Lepisosteus oculatus: one gene and its partner. The protein of the gene in region 1 purifies or fractionates together with the protein of each later gene. This does not show direct contact. Links are inferred from orthologs where the notes say so. Each region holds a gene or a part of one and is shown in the gene's direction. Other genes may lie near its edges.

The links.
Region 2: the proteins of stau1 (region 1) and ilf2 purify together in Homo sapiens (affinity purification with mass spectrometry; 3 studies listed by BioGRID). This does not show direct contact. The link is inferred for Lepisosteus oculatus from reciprocal best matches to the Homo sapiens genes STAU1 and ILF2.

What each region holds. Positions count from the first base shown.
Region 1 is NC_090711.1:9,426,979-9,434,208, reverse strand, and holds the start of stau1 (double-stranded RNA-binding protein Staufen homolog 1), read left to right. Parts: upstream 1-4,130; 5' UTR 4,131-4,328; intron 4,329-7,104; 5' UTR 7,105-7,185; coding exon 7,186-7,230. Other genes in the region: cse1l (exportin-2), read left to right, coding at 1-120, 774-863. UniProt on the Homo sapiens protein: Binds double-stranded RNA (regardless of the sequence) and tubulin.
Region 2 is NC_090722.1:6,551,679-6,559,595, reverse strand, and holds the start of ilf2 (interleukin enhancer-binding factor 2 homolog), read left to right. Parts: upstream 1-4,794; 5' UTR 4,795-4,908; coding exon 4,909-4,913; intron 4,914-6,353; coding exon 6,354-6,413; intron 6,414-7,917. Other genes in the region: adar (double-stranded RNA-specific adenosine deaminase), read right to left, coding at 506-683; uncharacterized protein, read right to left, coding at 1,135-1,414, 2,128-2,666. UniProt on the Homo sapiens protein: Chromatin-interacting protein that forms a stable heterodimer with interleukin enhancer-binding factor 3/ILF3 and plays a role in several biological processes including transcription, innate immunity or cell growth.

The sequences.
Region 1 (7,230 bases):
TTCTCCCAGCTGGCTTTCGCAGGGAAGAAAGAGCATGACCCCATCGGAGATGCCGTCAGCAATCCCAAAATCCACCTTGCACAGTCTCTCCACAAGCTGTCCACAGCGTGCCCAGGAAGGGTAAGTGACCACAGCTTGGCTTCCACACGTAGCAGAAGTCTGTGTTGGAGTTGATGTAGAGCTATGTGGGACAGGATGTTTGCGCTCCCGGCAGACACAATGAACCCAGTGTACTAATCAATTTCCCGTCCTTAAAGTCAACTGAGCATTTCACACTGGGTGTTCCTTTATGGCACGAAGCTCTCTTTGCAAAGGCAAGTTTGTTCCACACTTTTTTTTTCCCCCATTTAATAAGTTTTTTTATAACTTCTTTGAAGTTTTTTCTTATTGTATTGAAGCTGTTTATTTCAAACGTAGGTTGTGACTAAGAATTCAAGAAGCTAACAACTTTAAATAGTTTGATTGCTTTAAAGCTAGGTTATTTTTTGTCAGGGTTTCATGGCAGTCCACTGTTAAATGTGTAGTGCTCATTAAAACCTCTTTGTCAAAAGGGCTATTTAATACTTATTAAAATAAGACTTGCCTTATTTAACATAAAGTAAATAGAGTATATGAGGGAGTTCTGTGCATATTTAATGTAAACAAATTGAAGTCTTTTTTTTCCAGAAGGGTTTCCAAGTATATTTCATAATCCAGTTCAGGTGTATAAAACTTACACGTTTTATTTTTTCGTTCTCTTTGAAAGAAGAATGTGATTATTAATGTTTTTCTAGGTTCCCTCTATGCTGAGCACAAGCCTGAATGCTGAAGCACTACAGTTCTTGCAAGGCTATCTCCAAGCAGCAAGTGTCCAGCTCGTGTAAGACTTAGGACCCTGAAATCAAATCATTGAAAACCTGCTGAGGACAATAAGGCCAGGATGAGAATTACAGAAGGTCGCAGGAATCATCAGCAAACTTTGTGAACCAAACTCCTTTATTCTCTCACCAGATATTGATCTTTGACAGAAACTTTTAAGGATTTTAATTTGGTATTTCCAAAAATATCATGAATTGTCTTTAAGGTAAAAGTTGCAAATGTTGTGATCTAGAAACTCATACAGTGAAGTTTTACAGACCTCATTGGGACAGCTCTCGCATATAAGTTTCTTTGGACTGTTGTAAAAGCATTTTCTGTTACTAGTATCATTTTCTTTGTGTAAAAGAAGGTAGGCAGTTGAGTTTTCACTAACCTTCTGTTACATGCTAGAAAAGCTTTGTAGGAACTTTTTTCAAGGGGGATTTCTTCAAATGCTAGTCAGAATACCTTTTCATGTATAACTACATGAAATCTTATCAGTTTGCAAAGGAATAGAGAAACATGTTAATCCTGTGTATGAGCTATGAGTTCAAACAGATCGCAGTTGTCTTCTGGCCGTGCAACACCCTTGTTCCCATCCTGCAAATCCACGAGAGGACTGTGTTCATTTCAAATCTTCTTTTGCAGTTTTACTGTAGATCAGAGTTTTCTGAGAGCTCTTTGACAGCAGCATTTTTTTTATGCTTCCACCATTCTTCTAAACCATTTGTATCTTGTATGTCTTTATTTATGTCTTGTCTCTTTAGTTTCTCATGTTCCAAATGTGAATAAATAAAAAGCACTTGTGTATATTCAGTTTTTGTGTACTTGTGAACCTACAGTACATGTACTACAGTCCAGGACCTTGAAGGTAATCAAAGGTGGATGAAATGCTAAGTTTATAATCATTTGGTTACATTTAAGATTTCTTCAAAATGACTATATTGCCTTGATACAAAAATGTGTAATCTACATGCAGAGTTCTTTAAACAGTTGGTGTAGTTAAAGGATTGATCACCTAAAAATTACAAGGATATAGATTGTTGACTTATGGATTTGTCTTCTCAAATGGATGCCAACATTAATGCAAATTTTGAAGTATGACATTGCATATTTTGAAAGACTGAACTAAGTTATTCCTACCAACATTTAACAAAGTGTAATGAAAAACAGGATGATTAAAAACATGTTGGATTAAAACACTTGGAACATTCACTTATGAAAATCTCAAGTAACTATCACTCAAGTGATTTGGGGTTTTCTGAAGTGTACCAGTGAATTGGCTTGGTTCCATTTTTCTAGCCTTCAGAAATGAGAGTTTAAGAGTGCCCTTTAACACCTGTTGGATTGTGGCTTTTTGAGAATGGGCTTGTGCAACTACAGCATCAAAATGATGCACTGCTGTTATCTCTAACATTGTTAGATTTAAGGTTCTTTATGTCTAGGAAATACCAGGATAAATTGGATCCACAGCCCCTGTCCAGTTCTGAGTGACAGAGGTGGAACTGGTAACCACACCCTTCCCACAATGCTTGTCCCATTCTATTTGAGGGCCGTTGGCACAGTTTTCTACCCATAATTTTTCAGTCCATGGCTGTAAATGAGCGTGGTATCATCGAGCTCCATAAGAAGGATTGAGCAAGATTGTATCCAACAGTACATCAATCCATTGCTAACTTGCTTCTTTAAGGAAATCAATGCTGATCATTCCTTTTACTACAAATACAGTTCAGAAAATCTGTGTATACTTTTATGAACTTTAAGAAATTCTGAAGCACTGTACAATGTAATTGAATGTAATGAATTTTGGCAGCGCGTTCCAGTGTAGATGGGGAGCATACAAGAAGGCTTTGCCATCCGTTGTGAGATTCTGTGATCGAAAGATCTCAGGTTATGAGTTGGACTGGACACCAGTCCATCACAGGGCACACACAAGATGGACTCCCGCAGCAGGGTCAATTAAACCAATGCAAAGCTGTAGTGCAAGGCCAAAAACCTAGATGAAAGTGAGGAGATGATAAAAACTCCATGCTGATGGCACTGAAAGTCTGAATATGAACCCAGAGCCCCAGAGCTGCAAGGTAGCAATTCTGACTACCGTACCAACCCTCTACTTAACCAATATATCTAACATCATTTGGACCTAGACATTTCCAGGCCTCACACATGACCAGTAGTACCTGCTAGAGTAGTCCACCCTATATATCACTGGGAGCCTATTAAAAATTATACAAGACCGAAGGTAAGTGCTGATGCAGAATACATTTAGTTAGCACAAGTCTTAGAATTCCTGACATTTTAGCCCATTTACTATCATATAAGATTCTATTGGTCTAATATTGGTATGCATCATGTTTATATAGTATCAGACAGGCCAAGCACTGGTTCTAGAGTGAGCGGTGTTCTGCAGGCAGAAGGAAGTGACTTGTGATGTTCCTAACATGCACTTCTAATGACAACACGGATTCGGAAGCAAGTTTTCTGTCTTCCATCAGAGTTTGGATTTCAGCACCATTCACAATAACATGGAAGTCGTCTGTTCTATGCTGTTGATGTTGGGAGCCTAGAATTTCAGCCTAGTCGCAGTTTTGCTAAAGAAAGTTCAGCTGCTTCCATATGTTACCATCAAACACCTATAAAGCACAATAACAGCAGCAGTAGCATCCAATTTGATCTGGAATATATCTTCAATTACCATTGCAATGAAACCTATGACCATTATGACAAATGATCTAAGGGACACCATATATAAACTAAAAGATGAAGGCCCCAGCATTTTAGATGTTTCCTCATTATATTATAATACTCTAATGCTGGAATAATACATGCCTGAGTACCATGCTGATGAAAGCTCTGGACGGGGCTGGGAATGATAGCACCATACCCTTGAAAATACTAATTGAACATCTCCAGCAGTTAGTTCCAATTAACCCTCCAACCCAGGTCTCTTCGATAGTTTACGGTGCTTTGTGATACCATTATCAATATTTCACAGTATCGAAGCTGCAATTCATGAAGTCACAAGTTGTTTTCGGTCTTGAGGTATTCCAGTCAAGAGGGTGTTTTCACGCCCCCTATCGTCCAATAAAAATGTAGCATGTTAATAAGTAAGGAAGAGAACCGGCGTTAAATGATGTATAACATCGTTTATTAAAATTATGAACAGCCTGTGTTTTGCAGTCTTACAGTAACGTACACAAGTTATTCATGATATGGCTCGCATTTTTTGCAGCTCGTTATTCCTTCTCGATCTCTCCAGACCGGGGCACTTCCTGCGAGCCGGCTGAGGTCACTTCCGGAATGGGAAACCGAGGCTGGGCCATTCTCTTTAGTGTTTGCCCTGTTTGCCTTTTTCTCACCATAACACTAACATTTTAATAAAAAAATAGAAGAAAAATCCATAAAAGTGGAACAGATCAAATATAAATCTCACATACCGTAGCTCATGGAGTAAAGAAATCCTTAACTGCTGGACTGAAACATAAAAAGAGGTGAGATCTTGCAAGCTTTTTTAAATTTTTGATTTGCAATCACATTGTGTGCTCTGCTCCACTGTCTTGTGCTACCTTTTACCTTCAATTGAAACGCACGGAAAGCGTAAAGTTTTATTCGACGAAACATTCTTTCCCAAATCAACACATTATTTTTAAAATCCAGGTGGGGATTAATATGCTCGTTTCTGGTAGAGGTCAGTAGCTTTGTAAACCAAACAATAACATTCAACGATCTGGACGGTGTTGTTATTCTTGTTTTGTTTTACAATCGCATTGAGTACTACAGAGAAATAGTTGCGCATTTAAATGTGGTATCCAGAAACGTGGTCGATGCGGTTAAATATACTTTATTAGTGGGTTTTTATGTTTATGTGCATTTTTACAGCATTGTTAGGTTCCGTTTTGTAACAATACACCATGAATGAAGTTTTTTCTTAGAAACAGGTATATTTCTTTATAAGAATATGCTATACTCGTCCCCCTGTCGTGTCACTTTGCTGGCACTGAAGTAGCCAGATAATATTTCGGGGGTATTAAGGTGTCGTTAAATCTCACCCAGAAGTAACGTCATTTGCATTTGCCGCTTTGGAAAAAAAAATGCTAATGTTGCAGTTCTCTCAAACCATGTTTTCTTTGCTTTGGAGTACTTGAGCTTTCGAAATATTTTGGCGACGTGATTTCAACAAAATAACAAATTAAAGGCCACCACAACTCTTGTTTTCGCAGTGCACGGTATGTTTGCTGGTAGCTACAGTAGTGTCGGGAGAGGTTACGAATGCTAACGAGCAGGTCACGATTTTCTTGAACATGCCGTGATTGCACTTCAAGAGAATCGGACGATTGTCTGTCTTTATTTTTAAATGTCCATTGTTCAGCACTTTCGGTGTGTCCAGGCTTAGGTGAAGGATAGTAGGCCTCAGACCAGACCCTTACGATTTGGGAGAGAACACTTACGGTTTTAAATTGGTCTGGTCAATTTTAGACGCCTTCCGTGTCGTGAATTAAGCTGTTGTCCACCGTGAAAGCAAACAGGTTAGCGTGCATCTTCTGGTATGCGTAGTCGTCGAAAATAATATGTTTGGAGAGTGCAGGGGGTCGTCTGTCTACTTGGAGAAATCTTATTTGGAGTTCGTTTGTACGCGCCTCCCTCCTAATTTTAAAGTTAAAATGAACATTTTACATCTGGATAATTTTAAGTCTTTTGGTATTGAGCAAAGTCTCTAGGTTTACCATCCCCGCATTCATTAAAATTTGACGTGATGGATGGATTAGTCTTAACACAGATTGAATAGGGCTGGTATTTAGTTTTCGCAGTTTTTGTTTTTGAAAACACCTCAAAACAACACTGTATGTTCATCGGAGCTGTAATTATTAGTGGTCACGATTGTGGGAAATCCCAAAGATAAATATCAGCTTATAATGATTCTTGGCATTATAAACACAGTAATTTAGCTGTTTAAGAGGAAACACTGTTCATACAAGGGAGACACTTGCAGAGAGAAAGACCTACCATTTCAGCCACAGGGGTTGTGTGTCCTGGTTTAATTGAGATCTGCTAAAGTTATGTATGTGACACATCCAGGAATACACAGAAATCGCTTGTGCAGTGCACTGGGTCTGTCTTGATGTTCCTGCCATTCATTAAGGCTTTGGCCAAAAAATTGTTTTGGTAGTCCACAGTAACAATCTTTTTAATAACAGGAACAATTTTATTTTATATAGTGCCTTTCATGTTAAGACACCTCAGAGCTTCAAGAAGTCAAACGCACTTTTGATAGACTAGAGTTGTGACTTAAATATATAAATAAGTGGGGCTGTGATGTGATTTTGATCTCTTTAAAATAGTTTTTGCCTCTAACTTGCCTTACCTTTTTATTTCAAGCATATGATTCTCAATCAAGAGGTAGTTCTTATTGAAGTATGCTCAATACTTTTGGCTTTGTGCCTGACAGGTTATTAAAACTTACCAGAAAAGCATGTTAATGTTTTAGAATTCATACTGTAACATTCAGACATAAAATGGAATTGCAAAGCAAGATGATGCTGCTCATTAGTTAACATTTAAGATAGTTTTAAGATAAAAAGATAAATAATCTTCAAATGTATATAGCACTTTTCTGGACTCTCCACTGAAAGCGTTTCACAGGTAATGGGGACTCCCCTCCACCACCACTAATGTGCAGCCCCCACCTAGATGATGTGATGTCAGCCATAGTGCGCCAGTACACTCCCCACACACCAGCTATCAGTGGGGAGGAGAACAGAGTGATGAAGCCAGTTCTTAGATGGGGGTTATTAGGCCATGACTGGTAAAGGCCAAGGGGAAATTTGTCCAGGACACCAGGGTAAAACCCCCTACTCTTTTTGAGAAACTCCCCAGGGATTTTTAATGACCATGGGTAGGTAGTCAAGACCTCTGTTTTACATCTCAGCTCACAAAGAAGGACTTTGCTGTTTTGTTTTGCAGTATAGTCTAAAAAGCTTACAAATTAGTCACTTGCATGTGTGATATGTAAAGGCGACTTTAGATGTAATTAAACCCTGTTTGTATGTATGATGTGTTTACTCTGTGCTGTCGACCAGTTTAGTTTCTAGTTCTGCTAACTACATTTCTTTAAAAAGAATTAGACTGGATTCATTTTTAAAACCCAAACATTACCTAACCTCAAAAAAGAGCAAGATGTCCCCCGTACCATATGGCTATCGTTTTTGGATATAATCTTATCTGAGTAAGCATCCCACAGTACACAAGCTTTTGAATTATTTTTCCCAGGAAGAGCTTTGCTGGATTACTCCAAACTTGCGCTGAACCCCTGTGCTGCGTGCTGTGAAAGTCTTGGAACCGGACGTCAGTATGGCCCAAGTTCAGGTCCAGAGCCCTGCTGGGAGCCCCCTGTCC
Region 2 (7,917 bases), on another chromosome or scaffold:
AGCCCGCTCTGCACAGCCCGAGCCGGTACAATACCGTCCTGGGCCAAGCCGTGCCAGACCACCCCGCAACGATACCACCCTGTGCAGCGCCAGCAGCGCGCTGAAACTACTGTGCATGCTGAACCACTGATGTCCCGACATCCAGCGACACCGGCAGGACCGGCCCTAGCGCCTGCAGAGCTCCGACTCGCGATCACACGCCCCCCGATGCCTCTAATTCTCACACGCACAGATGCACAGCCAGTATCGGCTCCGACCGACCCCCCCCCTCAGCGCGACCCGGGACCCCTGCCTCTTCCGCCTCCAGCCCACTCTCGCCAGCCTTCACTCCACGCACCCCGAACGTCATGTCGCGATACCACAGGCGGGTCGTGAGCGGCTGGGGGCCACATCTCCCGGCGCAGACCAACTGGGCTCGCCGCCGTCCCCGGCCCGACTCCCCGACACCAGCCACGCGTGTCTCCGCGAACACCCACCCGGGGCGAACGAGAAAGGCGCTCCCTACCTGCAGATGGATTAAGGGGTTTGGCAGTGCAGCTCAGGCTCCGCAGAGTGTTGTGGGCTCCACCGCCTCGCCGTCGGAAAACAGGAAGAGCGGCGCGATGACGTCGAAAACAGGCGACGGATTGGTTGAGGGGAGAGGAGGGGTAGAAGCCTGTGAAGGGGGGTGTAGGCTCAGACATCTGGGGGCAGCCTCGATGTGCAGGGCCAGTGTGTGTGAGTGTGAGTGCTCGGCAGTGAGTGTGTCAGCGTGTCAGTGCGTCAGGCAGTGTGAGTGTGTCAGTGTGTGTGCGTCAGTGTGTCAGTGTGTGTGTCATTGTGACAGTGTGAGTGTGTCAGTGTGTCAGTGTGTGTGTCAGTGTGACAGTGTGAGTGTCAGGCAGTACAGTCACAATTTCCAGCCCAGTTCTGTTTGGAGAAGTTTATTGCCTGCAGTCAGTTCAGTGCACAGGCACCATGTTCTCCACTACAGGTCAAAAATGAAACAAAAAGCTGAATGGTTTTAATTCCAGAAACAGAAAATGACATGATAACTGACCACTCGGCCTTCTACCTGTTCTGTACATCAACGCAACGATCTTTATATTCATCTTCTATTCCTCTTCCCTTTGAAGCACAACAGCTAGGTGCCCCTCATGGAACACCCCATTTTGGGGGTGTCCCTTGCTCCATTCGGACACGGCCCTCTCGCAGCAGTCTGTACAGGTGCTGATTGGCTGTTTTTTTGGGGACCCCCAGTTTCCGGGCGATGAGCGCAGCCGGGGCAGTGGTCCCCGACGGAAGGCCCTCCAGCACCCCCAGCACGTCCTGGGGCTCGCGGCGGGTCCCCTCCCCCAGGGCCAGGTGCTGGAAGCTGGCTGCCAGAGCGTGGGCCTCCCCCGGGCCAGCTGGCTGAGGCCGGGGCACAGGGCCACTGGGAAAGAGGCAGACAGGGAGAGAGGGGGAGGAGGGGTGGGGAGGGAGAGAGAGGGAGGAGGAGAGGGAGGGAGGAGGAGAGAGAGGGAGAGAGGGAGGGAGGAGGGGTGAGGAGAGAGAGGAGGGAGAGGCAGTGAGGAGGAGGAGGGAGGGGGAGGGAGAGAGAGGGAGGGAGGAGGGGTGAGGAGAGAGAGGAGGGAGAGGCAGTGAGGAGGAGGAGGGAGGGGGAGGGAGAGAGAGGGAGGGAGGGAGGAGGGGTGAGGAGAGAGAGGGAGAGAGGAGGGGTGGGGGGAGAGAGGGAGGGAGGAGGAGAGGAGGGGTGGGGAGAGAGAGGGAGGAGGGGTGGGGGGAGAGAGGGAGAGACGGAGGGAGGAGGGGTGAGGAGAGAGAGGCAGTGAGGAGGAGGGAGGGGGAAAGTGAGAGAGGATAGAGGGAGGGAGGAGGGGTGAGGAGAGAGAGGGAGGGAGGAGGGGTGAGGAGAGGGAGAGGCAGGGGGGAGGAGTGAGGAGAGAGAGGAGGAAGACGAGAGTGCTGAGCAGAGACACAGGACCGCTCTCCCTCTCTCTGCCTGGCACACCCACAGCCCCGCCCATCGCCTCGGCAGCGACGGCTCACGCCCACGTAACCATGGCAGCAGTCTGCCCCCAGTCTCTCCGCTAGTTCAGCCAGTCAGCGCTCAGGGCCTCATGCCGGCTGCCCCCGTCTACATACCTGTCCCTCCCGTTCGTGGCCGCAGTGTGCACGCCCGGCCTGCAGGGGGCGGCGGTGCGCGGCCCCTCTGCCCCCTCGCCCTGTGTCTGGCTGGGCAGCCTCCACAGCACGGGGGGCCCCTCCGTCTTGTCCACCTGGCCCCCGCGCAGCAGCGAGTACAGCTGCTGGTTTGCCGACTTCCGCGAGACGCCGAGCTCGCGGGCGATCCGGTGCGCGGGCAGCCCCCCGCCGGGGCCCGCCGACAGGAGGACCTTCAGGACGCTCTGAGGGTCCGGGGGCCCGGGTTCAGGGGACGCCCCGGTGGTCGCGCGTGGCTCCGGTTCCGAGCCCGCCAGGCTCCACAGCGGCGGCTCTGTCCTGGTCCGGCGGACCGCGCCGCCCCTCTCCAGCTCGTACAGCGCTCGGTTGACATCCCCGACCGGGGGGCCCCCGAGGGCCGCCGCGATCTCCCCAGCCGCGTGGCCCCTCTCGCCTCCCTGCGCCCCTGTCCGCAGGAACGCACACACGCGGCCCCCGACGTCCCCCTCGGACGCAGACATCCCTCTCCAGGGCGGGGCTCTGGAGAAGACCCCCACAGAACCGTCACCCAGAGTCACAGCACCTGCGCAGAGCAAGAGCTGTCAAGAACCAGACAGAGACAGAGAGAGAGAGGAGTGGACAGACAGAGACACAGGGAGGGAGAGAGAGAGGAGTGGACAGACAGAGACACGGGGGGGGGGGAGAGAGGAGTGGACCAACAGAGACACGGGGGGGGGGAGAGAGAGAAAGAGGAGTGGACCAACAGAGACACAGGGGGGGAGAGAGAGAGAGAAAGAGGAGTGGACAGACAGAGACACATGGAGACAGGAGTGGATCGACAGAGACACAGGGAGAGAGAGGAGTGGACAGAGACACAGGGAGAGAGAGAGAGGAGTGGACAGACAGAGACACAGGGAGAAAGAGAGAGAGGAGTGGACTGACAGAGACACAGGGAGAGAGACAGGAGTGGACCGACAGAGACACAGAGAAGGATGCTGCTATAGTGAGGATCACAGCAGGAGAAAGACAAGCAGGTGGGAAGAGATCAGTCCTGAAACAGCCAGTCTTCACCCACCCCGTGTCCCAGCGCAGACTGGACTCGCTCATTTCCCCCTCTACAGCGAGCGGGAAACGAGACTGCTCCCCGGAGGAAAAAAAAAAACTAAAATAAAGTCGTTTAAAATCTTCCACAACTAAAAATAATAAAAACACAAACGCCTCCCTCGCCGAGAGTCTGAGCGAGTGACCCGGAAGGGCTCCCCCACAGCGCCCCCGTGTGGCCAGCAGGGCGAATGTCTCTATTCGCCGTGAAGCGCGTTTTGTAGCTAACCATTAATTCTAATCGTGATTGTTCATTAAAATTACATCAACGAGGGGAACAAGAGCGCTGATAAGACGTTCAGAACAGCAGTAAAATCACAAGGAAAAATAACAAAGAAAAATAAAAGAGAGGTAGGTGTCCAGAAAAGCGCTATATAAGTGTAAGCAATTATTATTATTATTATTATTGTTATTATTTGCATTCCTTTATTGCACTTATTTACCGAGTCTCGCCATCGTGATTCCTCTGGTGCCGTACCGTATAATACCACATAATTATAATGTTAAGAAGAAGATAATAAGGCTCCACAGCCGAAACGTTTCCTTTTCTTCTCTTTTCAGCATGGAATAAACCTTTGCTGGTTCCTTAGAAGCCTACGATTGATGACACAGCTCCCTACTTGAACTTCCACACGACAACAACAACAATAATAATAAATCCTTACACGTATATGGCGCCTTTCTCAGTCCGCTCAAAGTGCTTCACAGGTCATGGGGACTCCCCTCCACCAGCACCAGTTAGTAGCCCCACCGGGATAATAATAATAATAATAATAATAATAATAATAATAATAATAATAATAATAATAATAATAATAATAATAATTGCTTACACTTATATAGCGCTTTTCTGGACACTCCACTCAAAGCGCTTTACAGGTAATGGGGATCCCCTCCAACACCACCAATGTGCAGCCCCACCTGGATGATGCGATGGCAGCCATAGCGCGCCAGAACACTCCCCACACAGCAGCTCTCAGTGGGGAGGAGAGCAGAGCGATGGAGCCAGTTCAGAGAGGGGGATTATTAGGAGGCCATGATTGGTAAGGGCCAATGGGAAATTTGACCAGGGATGTACCTCAGCCTAATCCAGATGTTTCTACGACAGGTTTCACACAACATTAACATACAGAGGAACACTTTTACCTGTGTGAAAAGTATTTCAGGTGTGTGCATGACTGCTTTTTATATTACGTGTTGTTTCTATGCTGTAAAATGAGATTAATACGTGGCTCATCTGAAAAATGAAAATGGTTAGCAGAGGATGGTTTCGATCCATCGACCTCTGGGTTATGGGCCCAGCACGCTTCCGCTGCGCCACTCTGCTAGACGCTTGCACTGGTGAAAAGTCACTCGCTTTGTTATTGTCCGAGTGTGTTCTGCAGTGCTGCGCTCTAGTGGTCATCATTCGAAAGTGCATCAGAGACTATTAGACGAGAACCAATCATGTGGGATGTTTGCCTGCGAGCCCCGCCCCCTACCCCACCTCACCAATCGCCTCTTGCTGTTGAAAAGCGTTTGGCGCCTGTGATTGGTTCCCTGGGTTGTCGATCTCGTTCGGAGACGCTGTTTCCCTGGGTAGTGAAGCAACGCCAGCGGACAGGTCGGCGGCCGAAGATTTCTCTTTGTGGCTTCCCTCAAGTTGTCAAGACGTCGTACGCAATGAGGTACAGTAATTCAAAGGAGATGGAAGGGAAAACTGTTTTTTTCTGTGCGCAATCTGACAACGCGGTGTGTCCTGGCAGAACTGAAATCCGGCTTCTCAAGTAGGCCTCATATCAGGCCTCGGGTCTCGAGTTAGCTAGCGTACCCGTGTCGGATCGGGGGTGTGTGCGCGCGTGCGTGGGCTCTGCATGTTATCGCTAAAACCCAAGTTGAAACTGCGTCCCCTTCGAATTCCATTTCCTGGCGTTTAGTGACAAGATGTGTAAAAGGAAAATGGCGTTTTTTTTAAAACAAAAGCTCTCGGAAGAGGGTGTTGTGCCGGGCGCTGGATGAATGAATGGCTGTAATCGAGCGGCCGGTCTGGGGCCTGCTCTTTGTTACCCACCGTGCCGGTTTCCACACGGCGCCGACCGGCAGTGCACCGAGGCCGGTGTGTGCTTCGTGACCTGGCCGCCGAGGTGCGGGCGAACCGAGGGTCTGTATGCCCGACGAGTGCCAAGGCACGTTCCTGCCTCCAACACCGTGCGGCTGTCCGGCATCGGGGGTCCCAGTCTCTGCGTGCCGGCTGGTTAGTGGCTTATCCTACCGGCCAGGGTGCTGGGGGGGGCTTGAGGTCAAAGATCCATGAACCTAGTGTCGGAGGGCCGTCTGGAATCGCCCTGTGAGGCACTGAGCCCGCGGGACTCGTGCAGGATGATCTGTGAATGAACCGACTGGCGACCACAGAGAAATTCAGAACAGGTGGCCTTTCCTTACACAAAGGGGGGTGTGTGTGTGGAACAAGCTGCAGGGGGTCAGTTAGCTACTAAATACCCAGCGGCTGGGCGGGCCCTGTGGCTCCACTCTGTAACGACCCCTTACATCCTCAAGACACGGGATCTTTATCGTGGTCTTGTGCAGCTCTACTGTTCACTTCAGTTCACGCACAGTTACCCTGCTGGCAGCCCACCGGAGCTCAGCATCCATCTCTGGAGGGGAGACCTCCTGGGAAAGCTGAGGCTGCAGCTGGAAGAGGTGTTAGTGGGACCAGCAGGGGGCGCTCACCCTGCGGTCTGTGTGGGTCCTAATGGCCCGGTACAGTGACGGGGACACTATACTGTAAATAGGCGCTGTCCTTCGGATGAGATGTAAAACCGAGGTCCTGACTCTCTGTGGTCATTAAAAATCCCAGGGCATTTCTCCAAAAGAGTAGGGGTGTTACCCCGGAGTCCTGGAGGTGCTACAGTCCGTCATGGAATTAACCAGGTGGACCGATCGTGTGACTGGAGCACCTGGTCTTCTGCAGGCGCGGTGGGGCTCACTCGAGCTTGCGTCTCTCTGCGCGGAGAGCAGAGGGGTGGCCTCGCTGCTCTGGTCCCGACTGGCCTGGTGGAGGCGGCTGGCTGGGTGTCTCTCCAATCCAGTGATGGAAGCATCTAACATCTCTCTCTCTCTCTCTCCAGAGGCGACAGGGGGCGGGGCCGGGGGGGCCGGTTTGGAGCCCGCGGAGGGCTGGCGCAGGGGTGAGTAGCTGCTGGTGGGGGGGACGTGCTTACTGTACCTGTGCAAGCAGTCGGACACCCCGTCGGTGGCAGACTGATCCACTCCGGGTTTTACAGTGTTGTTAATCAGACTCCTGGCATCCAGCAGTGCGCTCCAGTCTGGGGGCTAACAGTGTAGTTAATCACACCACAGTGCGCTGCAGTCCGGGGGTTAACAGTGTAGTTAATCACACCACAGTGTGCTGCAGTCCGGGGGTTAACAGTGTAGTTAATCACACCACAGTGCGCTGCAGTCTGGGGTTAACAGTGTAGTTAATCACACCACAGTGCGCTGCAGTCTGGGGTTAACAGTGTAGTTAATCACACCACAGTGCGCTGCAGTCTGGGGTTAACAGTGTAGTTAATCACACCACAGTGCGCTGCAGTCCGGGGGCTAACAGTGTAGTTAATCACACCACAGTGCGCTGCAGTCTGGGGTTAACAGTGTAGTTAATCACACCACAGTGTGCTGCAGTCCGGGGGCTAACAGTGTAGTTAATCACACCACAGTGCGCTGCAGTCTGGGGTTAACAGTGTAGTTAATCACACCACAGTGCGCTGCAGTCTGGGGGCTAACAGTGTAGTTAATCACACCACAGTGCGCTGCAGTCTGGGGGCTAACAGTGTAGTTAATCACACCACAGTGCGCTGCAGTCTGGGGTTAACAGTGTAGTTAATCACACCACAGTGCGCTGCAGTCCGGGGGCTAACAGTGTAGTTAAGCACACCACAGTGTGCTGCAGTCCGGGGGTTAACAGTGTAGTTAATCACACCACAGTGCGCTGCAGTCTGGGGTTAACAGTGTAGTTAATCACACCACAGTGCGCTGCAGTCTGGGGTTAACAGTGTAGTTAATCACACCACAGTGTGCTGCAGTCCGGGGGTTAACAGTGTAGTTAATCACACCACAGTGCGCTGCAGTCTGGGGTTAACAGTGTAGTTAATCACACCACAGTGCGCTGCAGTCTGGGGGCTAACAGTGTAGTTAATCACACCACAGTGCGCTGCAGTCTGGGGGTTAACAGTGTAGTTAATCACACCACAGTGCGCTGCAGTCTGGGGTTAACAGTGTAGTTAAGCACACCACAGTGCGCTGCAGTCTGGGGCTAACAGTGTAGTTAATCACACCACAGTGCGCTGCAGTCCGGGGGCTAACAGTGTAGTTAATCACACCACAGTGCGCTGCAGTCTGGGGTTAACAGTGTAGTTAATCACACCACAGTGTGCTGCAGTCTGGGGTTAACAGTGTAGTTAATCACACCACAGTGCGCTGCAGTCCGGGGGCTAACAGTGTAGTTAATCACACCACAGTGCGCTGCAGTCCGGGGGCTAACAGTGTAGTTAATCACACCACAGTGCGCTGCAGTCTGGGGTTAACAGTGTAGTTAATCACACCACAGTGTGCTGCAGTCTGGGGTTAACAGTGTAGTTAATCACACCACAGTGTGCTGCAGTCTGGGGTTAACAGTGTAGTTAATCACACCAC